3 linked regions of the Drosophila melanogaster genome follow. The protein of the gene in region 3 interacts with the protein of the main gene of each other region in a pairwise test. Each region holds a gene or a part of one and is shown on either strand. Other genes may lie near its edges. The genes, in order: CG7148, SkpF and CG14053.

Region 1 (3,756 bases), on a different chromosome or scaffold from region 3:
GAAATGTCAAATTTAATAATTTTTGCCTGCAGATTAGATATCCATAGGAGCGGGAGTTACACTATCGATTGCATTATAGTTTTTGGGGAAACAACAAGTTGACTTCCAAACTACAAATTATATCTTACAGTTATTATACCTGGCAGTAGCAATATACATATTATCAGGGGTATTCAGCTAGCTATTTCATAGCTATAAATGATTCCCAGGGAACAAAGGTAAAAATGTTGCACGTTATCGTCAGCTCATTTTCATATTTATTTTATTAAAACAAATTTATTTAAATAATTTAACTACGGTGCTCTTTGTCACTACGTGAAGGACAGCCTTAGAAAACAACACGGAAGTCCGCATGGAGCACTCAAAACTTTGAAATAATAATCCAATTTGGCGTACTTTGTGCAACATAAATTTTAATAATAAATTATTGTATGAATCTACGCTTGTATATTTACATATTTTGAGGTCAGTGAAATTCAAATTGGTATCCGCGGTCCACAAAGCTCAGACCGCGTTCCGAGTCGACTGGAAAGTCGGCGGTGAAGACAATATATCCTCTATATTCCAAAGAGCTCTTTAGGTTCTGCAATGGATTGATTGATTAGATAAAAGAAGAGCGACATAAACAAGAAATAGTAACCGCTCTATCCACAAAGTCCTCAAAGCCACTTAGGTCGTAGTAGAGCTTCAGAGGTGGCGAACGTCCAACTCCCGTCTTCTGCTTGAACGGCTCCCGCCGCTTAAGAATACTCAAGGCCCGTGGCAAAAATGTTGGCGTCAGATTTCGGCAGTAGGACACGTCGAGGTGTTCCAATCGTGGACAGAGTTCCACGAATTCTAAGAGGATTTCGTCGCTTAGGTCATTCCAGTTGCGCACGCAGAGCAGCTGCAGCTCTGTCATACAGGTATAGCGCTTTAGGTAGTCTGCCGAATGAGTCCAGCTGCAAATGGCCAGGCGCTTCAGCCTGCGATGCGTCCAGATGGGCAGCTTCTCATCCCAGCCCGGTTCAAGGGGCATATAGTACCCGTCCACGGCAAAGCCGACGATGTCCTTGGCCTTGAAAGCCATGATCTCGTAGAACTCGCTGACCTCGCGGATCTTGTGGTCATAGCTATCCGGACTGACCAGCGGGGGGATATGCCACTCGTTGTCCAGCAGCACCACCAGTTTCCTGAGGGAGGGCAGCTCCAGAACGGCGGGTAGAATGGGTTTCAAGGTGGCCAGATTGAGCTTAAGATCAGTGAGGTTCTTAAAGCTCTGCAGGCAGTTTCCCAGCTGAAGTTTACTGATCATATCGTACGTCCTAATGTCCAGGACCCGAAGATCGTGCAGCGTGCTGTGGCGCAAACGGAAAATGAGTTGCGAAATATTATGCAGCAGAAGGTTACTACTTACCGGCACACCTCGTCCAGGTACTTCTGCTGCAGCTCAAACGCCTTGTGCTGGTCCTCGTAGAGGTGCAGCTCCTGCAGGTGCTGGAAGTTGGATAGGTACCGCCCGTCGATGGGTGTGGTAAGGCGCAACTTTTTCAAGCCCGGCAGCAGGCGGGCCAGCTTGCGGATGCTTCGGTTCGTGGGATAGCAATCGACGCCGTCTGGGTCGTAGTAGAAGCTGGTCACCATGGGCAGCTCTGCAATGTGCATTTCGTCCAGATCTTTTAGAATGGAGCACAGACAGCTGCTGCCGCCCATTTCTCTGATGTACGGACGCATTTGGGTTAGGAAGTAGACCAGGTCTTCATGATTGGGCAACAGTACCCGCCACTTCTCCAGATCCAGTTGCTCGTAGGCATGGCTGGTGCGCCACTTGCTCAGACATATGTACTGCACTCGCCGGCAAGTCCTCGCGAAGGACACTTCCGACGGCAGGTCCTGCAAGCGATCGAAAATCTCGGCCAGACAGTCGTCGTCCAATTGCAGAATTAGGGATCTCGGCTCGGAAGCCATGGCCCGGGATGCGATCCTCGCGACACAATCTAGGTACAGAGTCTGTTAAAATAGCCGGAGCGAGAGATAGTTTCTGTATTCTGGATCGTTTCAAGCAGGTCAACTCAATTGAATAACAAACAAAAATACATTTTGGTGCTCCCCCAATGTGACCAGTCGTGGATGGTCTGAATACCTCACGCAAAAAACGTAGGTTCCTTACATTATGTTATATATACGCTAATTGTTTGAATACAATTTAATAATACAGTTTAGTAATTTATATATATATACATAGACATATAGACATATATATATATAACAAATTTAACAATACAAATTTATTGTTATATATGTCTATGTATATATATATATATATATATATATATATATATATACAAAACTAAAATTACAAATTTATTGTTATATATGTCTACATATATACATATACATATATATATATACATATATATATATACATAGACATATATAACAATAAATTTGTAATTTTAGTTTTGTCTAACGTAGCCTAGCGTTATTTCTAATTTCAAGATCTTTGTCGGTGTGGCATAAATAAATGATTACAATTGATTGGCATTTTCGAGTTATTCTTGGGAAGAATACCCGCTGCATTGACAGTGTTGAGAAACGGGGTGCAGGGGTGGCCACACCGTTGGCAGCCGCGTAGTGCTGCCATACCACTGATAAGTAGAAAACACGTGTGAGTGCGCATTCTTTTTTGTGGGACAAGCGGCTAGTAATTATTTGCGGACGGAAAATATTGACGAATAGTTGAATTAATCATGACAGACCTGCTAAAGATAGCCGATGCAATCGTCCTGGAGTACTTGCAGTCCAAGGACAAGAACCTAGCCAAGGTTTTCCAGCAGAAGACGAAGGCGGTAAGTTTCAGTGCAGAGCGGCAAGTGCAATATGTGCGGTTTGGATGCACCCGAAACATGTGGTATCTGCGTCCTCCTGATCTAGAATCCGAGGGCCTTGCTGTCCGCCGATGGCTCATCGAGCTGTCCACCTGCCACTTGCTGCAAGTGCCACGTGCTTCGTCCAGATAACCAAGAATTTCTGCCTTTTTCTAACTTGCAGGCCAGTGTCGCCAAAAGCAGCCCAAAGTTGAGTGAAATCCTTCAGTTCTACCAGACCAAAAGCCCCAAAAAGATCCCAGCAATCAAGGCGACAGCCGGAGACTCCAGCGAAGACAGCGACTCAGACTCTGAGTCTGATGCGGCGCCTAAGAAGCCAGCGACAGCTCCTGCACTAACAAACGGCAAGGCTGTCAAAAAGGCAGCTTCTTCAACCAGCGAGGACAGCGATTCAGAGGAGGAGAAGAAGCCAGCAGCAAAGGCCACGCCGGCCAAGGCTGTCGGCAAGAAGGCAAAATCCTCCAGCGAGGACAGTTCCTCGGAGGAAGAAGCACCCAAAAAAGCTGCTCCAGTGAAGGCACCTCCGGCCAAGGCGGCTCCCGCGAAGAAGGTTGAGTCCAGCAGCGAGGATAGCAGTTCCGAGGAAGAACCGGCAAAGCCCGCCGTCAAGGCCACAACGACTAAGGTTGCTCCCGCCAAGAAGGCCGACTCCAGCAGCGAAGAAAGCAGCTCCGATGAGGAGACTAAGCCAGCTGCCAAGCCTGTAGCCAAGGCTGCACCGGCAAAGAAAGCAGCATCCTCCAGCGAGGAAAGCGACTCCGATGACGAGCCAGCCGCCAAGAAGCCTGCCGTCCAGCCTGCCGCAAAGCCAGCTCCTAAGGCAGCCGCTTCTAGTTCCGAAGACAGCAGCTCAGAGGAGGAGGTCAAACCCGCTGCTAAATCTGCTGCC
Region 2 (3,351 bases), on a different chromosome or scaffold from region 3:
TGGACACCTCCGAGGTCACCATGGACGACGGCTATCCGCCGGATGCGCAAGTCGATGACAAGACCAAGCAGCTGGTCATTGGCGATGTGGAGGAGGATTCCGGCGACAACATGGAGTCCAACCAGTTTACCGCCGACGTGATTAACGCGCGGGACAGCAAGATCGATCTGGTGTCCAAGTTCCTGCAGTATATCGAGCAGCAGCATCTGATGGGCTCCAACTGCGTGGCTGGTACTTCGCTCAATCTGGGCGAGGGCGTGGTCGACCGGTATGCTCAGGACAGGTTCCGGGTGGAGGCCGAGGTGGCCGTCAATCGCGCCAATATGCTGACCAGGTGAGTGGATGTCACGGACAAAGTTTTCCGAGTTACTCAGCCCACATCATATTCACATGCCAAACTTTTCCAATCGAAAGTTTTCGGCCAGACGGTTGGCGAATGCAAGTGAAAATGGAAATGGAAATGGAATCCGTACTGAACAATTGCGGTCAAGAAAGTAGTGTGCTTTCCCTGAAGGTCATTCGAGGGTCAAGATACATATGAAGGATATTTATGTGATATTTTGTGAGCATAGGTAAGGATGTCGAGTTACATTCTAATCCGGAACAGGCATCAATCCTTCGAAAATGTTCACTTCGAATTTATATAATTTCGCCGTACTCTATCGCCTCGTCCTCCTGCGGGACTTCCGACTCCATCGTCATCAAATCCTCCTCGGAGGGCGAGAAATCGTTGGTTATGTGAAAGGTCTGGCGAATCTCCTCCGTCGTGCGGCCTTTAATCATGTTGGCCACCGTCATGCAGGCGGCGTTCAGCAGATTGGGAATGTCCAGGTAGTTGGCCGCCAAGATGAGTTCGAAGAGCGTGCCCTGATCCATGGACAGGAACTCGGCGTCCCAGGGGGTGATCTGCACAGCGACGGACTTGGCCGCTTCCTCTTCGTTCTCCTCTGCAATGTCCTCGCGATGATGCTTGGCCCAAATGAGGACCTTCTTCAGGATCGTCGAGTTCACATTGGGCAGCGGGATAAGAGTGTCGTTCTCCGCTTCCACTGGACAATCCTCCAATAGGGTCTTAATGGTGCTCGAGCACTTGGCAGTCTCGATGTCGGTCTCGAAAATTTCGCCATCGGAGGACTGCAATTTGATGACTGGCATGGTCCGTTTTCGCCCACAAAGGGTTTTCCTTTAAGGTTATCTGGTACAGTTCAACTTTTCAAGAAAATCTGTCAGTGCCAACTTGACAGTTAAAAATTAAACAGAACAGATTCGTAATGGAAACAAATTGGTGATTCATCAAATTCAAACAAATGTCCATGGAATGGAGATAGCATTTATTAACAATTTAGACAACATTTTTATTTCAATATAACGAGCAAAATCGATTAGATATTGGCAGAAATACACAATTTTAGTTTCATAACATATTTATTGTTGTATAAGTAATAGTTGATTGCCGCTTACAATGGTATTTACCATGTTCTACACAATGGACATTTCAATTGCAGCACAATTTATTGCTGTTTGTTATAACAGAAAAATATGAAATATTTAGGGCCCATTTCGAATACGGAAATAAAAACAAAACCAGGGATTTGGCCTCCATTTTCCCTTTTCAATTCACCATCGCTCATTGCTCGGGGTTCACTTTGCAGCAGATACTCGCCATTTTCTGCTCATCTAGATTGGCCCGTGTCCTTTGTCAACAAGGAGCATAATGTGCTTTTCTTGTTGCGGTGGCTCTCGTCGCTTGTTGGCCATAGTTGGCAGAACTACCATCGCTTTCCCTGCGATTTTCCTTCGATTTTTCCGTCCGCCTGGCTGCGTGCAATTTTTTGATAAAAGTTCAATTACTTAGCGTGGCAGGCGTGCCGAGCAAAAAGTTTGCACCATTCTTGTGGCCAAAACGGAAGGCCAGCTGGCGGAGGACATTGATTTACCTGGACAACCAAAGCGATGGCAATTCATTTGGTTTTTCTTGGAATTTCCAGCTGTCCAGGCTGGCCAAACGGAGCAAGCTGACCAATCTGATGTGTGTGCTCATTGTTTACTCGTGTCCATTCCGCTTCCATCATCGATTTGGCAGTGTATCGTGTATCAGGATAACCGCCCCAGTGACAATCCCAAGGACATGCCAGCCCAGCTCCCATGTTTTCTGAGCTCTTCTTTTCTTCGGCAGCTCTCTCTCTCTCTGTTCAGCAGCCAGGCACAATAAACACAAAGTTTCTTCAGATTTCGCATATCTGGGTATGAAGTCCGAGCACCAAAGTTACGGACTCCAAAGTCCTGTGTGTTCCAATGTCCAAAGTCCAAAGTCCAAGTGTACGAATGTCCTTGCCTGCATGCACGCATCGTATGTGTCAATGCCGATGGGGATGTGCTCCGTGCAGACATTAGACCTGGAATTTATGTCCTTCTGTTTTTCTTGAGTGTCTTTGTGGCAAATAGCAATAGAGAAATCAGCAAAAAAGCAAACTTTTTCTGAGCCAAAACGAGGGCAACGTGGGTGTGTGGCTGGCTTCGTGCAACAGGCCATTGGATATCGTCCAACCGTCGATGGTCACCAAATTCCGATGACATAATTTTCCAGCTTAGATGACAACTTTTTGTGCGCTGATTGAGCCAGGAAATCAAAGCCATTTGTTAACGAAAAACTCATTTGTTAAAAGCCGCACAGAAAGGACGACAGGACTACAAGCTGATGAATCCAAGGAACGATTGCCGCTTGTCAATAAAACGCACAAATAAACAATTAACCCAAACGACTAGCAGCTCGACAAATTAAGTGACAGAGGGGAAAGGTCGGTCGATAGCGAGGAAAGGCGGGAAAAGGAGAGAAAAATGGGAAATGCGGACAATGTCGTAACTTGGCCTGGGGAGCAATAAAATGTCAAAGACTCACTGTCAATAAATTAAATTGCAAACGGCCACGGATCTGGCACGGGATCAACATTATTGCATTTAGTGTCATATGCCAGGCATTTGTTTTCATTATTTGTTCAGCGGGGAATGTGGCCTCTGGGACTGAACTCCACTTCCTTGATTTATCCAGCTCGACATCCATAAATCCAATGGATTGCCCAGATACTGGTTCATAATTGCAGGAGGGATGGCGGCTAATCAGGACCCGTATTAATCAGTTTTCCTTGTGTTAACATAATCAAGGATGGCCGGAAACTTTTCCTTCAGCGGAAAAAGGGAAACTCGAAGGAGGAAAGCAAAGGGAAATCACAGGGAAAGCGCTACACAGATAGATACTAATTGAAGTTATTGTTTTGTGATACATTGTTATCGCCCTGCCAGCAAGGGATCCTGTTCCGTGTTGCCGCTCGCTTTTTGGTTTGGGCATTTCCC
Region 3 (3,756 bases):
TAATTTTATTATTAATAAAATTTTATTAACGTGCTCTAAATTGATCCTGTGGACTTCTGCAGGAAACTAACTTCTCGCCATACACTGCTGTATCAACTTGAACTTGACGAGCAGATTAAATTCGAAGAATTTAGTTTCACTGTTTGATATCCCCACTTCACCCGGGATCACGATCAATCTTTCCCAACGATCTTGTCCACACAGTCGTAAACGCAAGTCTCGCATTTAGTCAACATCAATATCAGGGAGCTATCAATATCGATCACGGCCACCTGGCGAGCGATAAAGGAGGTGGGGAGCAATGAATGCACTTCTGTTCTTTTTCTCCCACGTTCTGGGTCTGCAGGCGCGCCAAGTGAGAAAGAGAAATCCGAAAAAGCCGAAAGTATAGAAACGATCTGTTTAAAAATAGTTTCGACGAAATGCATGCATTCTCGGCATTTGAATGGCTTTCCGACTCCAGGCGATGGCGCTTCGCTTCTGGAGGATTGGATCGGTGTGATTATCGGAGATCGGTGATCCGATCGGATGTACAAGATCACACATATTTAAGAGTCTGGTCGCTAGCCCAGCGATAGTTACAATCACCTTATCTGATCCAGGCGACTTACCTTTCGCCTGTTATTTGGTAATTAACTTGTTGCTGCCTGCACTCTTTGGCTTTTTTCCCTTCGATTGCTTCACTTTACTGCCGCAGTGTGCGAATTTACGACTTTGTTGACAGTTTGTGTTCTTCGCGTTACAATTGCAGTTGTCCAATCGTCGAGATTACGGATTGAACGGGGCGTCGAGTGTTCAATAAAACTGAATGAATGCGATTTCGATCGCGTCGCACTTTGACTGCGGTGCTTGACGTACAGCGTCCTTAGCAACTGGCCACACTCGATATGTCCTTGCGGTGAATGCACACTCGGTCACACTGAACGGCAATAATGGTGCTTCTAACACTGACTCCCGGCTTTGCTTTCCCTTTCCCGATGGCTTCACTGGCTTCCAAATCGCGGGAGCGAGTATTACTTTTTGGCGAGACGCAACCGATGTCGCTGTCAGCAGGGCAGGCGACGAATTAAATTAAATGCGAGCCGTGTAAGAGCAGAACGCCGAGCGCCGAGCAGCCGAAGAAGGAACGGCAGCAAAGACAAGCAAACAGCGAAGCACTCTCCTCTCCAGGCCTCTCGCACTGCTCCCTCGCTCCTTATCAGTGGTCAGCCCCAAAGAGCGCGCATGGAGAACTCTGGGCAGGAGTGGGAGCGGGAGAGGGAGAGCGCCGCCAAGTGATCGGACCCAATCTGCTGTGAATTATAGGCACCTTATCAGTTTATAATATTTCGTACATGTTTCGTGCTTCCAATTGTGTTGTCTGCATGCAAATAACACGGCACTTTCGGGCGGCAGCGGGGGGCCTCGGGGGTGGTCTCGATTGCTTACGCCTTTCTGGCTTAGTGTTAAATATTAATTAACAAATTTGCTCGAGTTGAACTGTGCGTAAATCGAAATCACAACGGCCATAAAAAGCGAATACAGCCTGTTTAGACCCACACTGAGCACTATTATACTCTATTCCAAGTCGAACCCCACTTCTTATTTCCTTTTTGCTTAGAAATGAATTTATTTTACAGTGCACACGGATAAACAGTTATTTCCATCGCCTGCATTTCGAATTTTATCCGCTGCAGAAGATTGCAGCACAGTATGGCAAACCCTATTACTTTTTATGTTTTCAAAACATTTTTTTTGTTTTTACCTATTCAAATTCTGCAATATTCATCCAGTCAGCCCATCATTTTTGTATTTCCCCTGCAATCGCAATCGAACTTTGCCCATGCAGCCTTACTGCAGCTCAAATTACAAATCGATTAGGCTCGCGTGCCATCCAAGCTGCAGCCAAAAGAAGTGCATTATCAAGGTCGGCGATGAGACGGCGAGTTCCCCGCGGGCCACAGCGAATGTCTGATGCTCTACACGGGCTTGGTGGAACGGTACATACAGCTCGGCCTCGTGAGGAGTCACGCAGTCAGCGAGCATGGGAAGTCAGACTTGACCGCGCTTCGCACTGATCGCATAATTTGCTGTACAAATAGTGATTTCTAATGCTAAAAATACACACCAGACCCAAGACCAGGCTGACCAGGCTGACTAGACTGGGCCTTCGGTCACAGGTAGGCCATCCCAGGTGAGTTGGTCGACCAACCCGTGATCCTATATACACGCCCGTCGGCTCCTGCCCTCCCAAACCCTTTCCCGCTCCGCGTTTATGGTTGTCGTAATGCGACAATATTGATAGCCGATTATGCCAGGCCATTGATAACGCCCTCGCTGGGAGGGGTGATTGCGGGAGGGGGACCGGGAACGGGAATGGTGGTGGGAATCAATTCCGCATAGTTCGTCCGAGGGTGGTCATGCCACGCCCCATTTCTAGTTGATAAGATAGTGGAGTCCAGGCCGGATGAAATGGAGCGCTGCTGCAGGCTTGACTTGCCGCAAGGAGCGAATTGGCGCCGCAGCAGGAACTGGAACAGGAACCTATGTACATATATACCCGGTTGCCAAGTGTCAGGCGCCTCAAGCTCCATGTTCATTCAAGCAAGCATATTTCACACACTACGGAAGCCCGGAATATATTTCCTTCTATCCGTAAAACTAAAAAAAAAAAACTAAAAAAAGTATATATTTTCTAGTAATGGACATCTCCCAATCGGACGACCTATACGAATGCGGAGTGGAGAGGGAAAGGGAGACTGTCCATCAGTCATCGCGCACCGTGAGAGATCCCCTTCAGGTGTTCCATTGGATAGCGTCTTTGGATGTGGCCCAGCTGGAGGACGAGACACCGCCCCCCAGTTTCTACTTCGATTTGCTGGAGACAAATGACGTCGAACTGGACTGCAGTGTTTACAGCGGAAAGCTTCTTGTAACGCTCGGTAGTCAGACAGATGTGTCGCAGCCAGAAGTTTCGCAGGAGTATGCAGACAACGCACTGGCGGTGGAACCAACAGATCTGAAAATATCAATACCTGAAGATGCGACAGCATGCCCATGTCATGCCGCATCTGATGATGAAGTATCAATTACAATATTTGTAGAAAGCGAAACTGAACCGGAACCACGTGGGAACTCCGAGCATCAACCAAGTCGCTTTTCGTTTTTTGGCATGTTGCTAAAGGCGGTCGTGGCACTGTCCGTGGTGAACGCCCTTTATGTTCTGTGGACGATCGGCTTTGAGGCCTTCAAGAACCGCGTATGGCAGTCATCTTCTGTGAATATGCCACCGCCTCGGACTACATCGATCAGGGAGACGCGTGCTTCGCTGCCCGAGAGCATTTGGCGAAGTGTTGAAGCTAAATTGGCTAGCCTGCGAGCCCGCTTGAACTAAGTCCGCTCCTGGCTGTCGGACTTTGTTAGTTTCAGCTTGGTTATTTATAAACCCATCCCGCTATTTTTACGCCTATGGCACCAGTTGCTGTTCCAGTCGATTCCTTCGCCGTCGACGACCACTGTTTGCTGTTGTTCTCGTTGCCGGCGGCGTTAGAGATTACGAGTAACACGGACTGCCCGAAAATACGGATTTCTGTTGTTGTGTACCCGGGACAACAACAACTATCCGGCCCAGCGATAAGCGTCGGAATCAACACGAATCTCGGTCAATAGCTCACCGATCCATAGCCAAATAAACGCCAAGCTGAGTCTCCAGTTCAAATCGAAATTTCTCGCTCTCCCTTGTGCCCTGCCTAAAATATTCCATGGCGCTGGTTATGC

What was found.
Region 1: the proteins of CG14053 (region 3) and CG7148 interact in a two-hybrid assay, tested with the Drosophila melanogaster proteins (one large-scale study listed by BioGRID).
Region 2: the proteins of CG14053 (region 3) and SkpF interact in a two-hybrid assay, tested with the Drosophila melanogaster proteins (one large-scale study listed by BioGRID).

Annotation. Positions count from the first base shown.
Region 1 is NT_037436.4:21,830,150-21,833,905, forward strand, and holds CG7148 (uncharacterized protein), read right to left. Parts: upstream 2,105-3,756; 5' UTR 1,948-2,104; coding exon 1,397-1,947; intron 1,338-1,396; coding exon 641-1,337; intron 584-640; coding exon 467-583; 3' UTR 395-466; downstream 1-394. Other genes in the region: Nopp140, read left to right, coding at 2,730-2,828, 3,031-3,756.
Region 2 is NT_033778.4:23,457,532-23,460,882, forward strand, and holds SkpF (SKP1-related F), read right to left. Parts: upstream 1,229-3,351; 5' UTR 1,156-1,228; coding exon 640-1,155; 3' UTR 534-639; downstream 1-533. Other genes in the region: CG43795 (uncharacterized protein), read left to right, coding at 1-334.
Region 3 is NC_004354.4:2,191,895-2,195,650, reverse strand, and holds the start of CG14053 (uncharacterized protein), read left to right. Parts: upstream 1-1,741; 5' UTR 1,742-2,173; intron 2,174-2,591; exon of another isoform or gene 2,592-2,678; 5' UTR 2,679-2,680; coding exon 2,681-3,373; 3' UTR 3,374-3,756.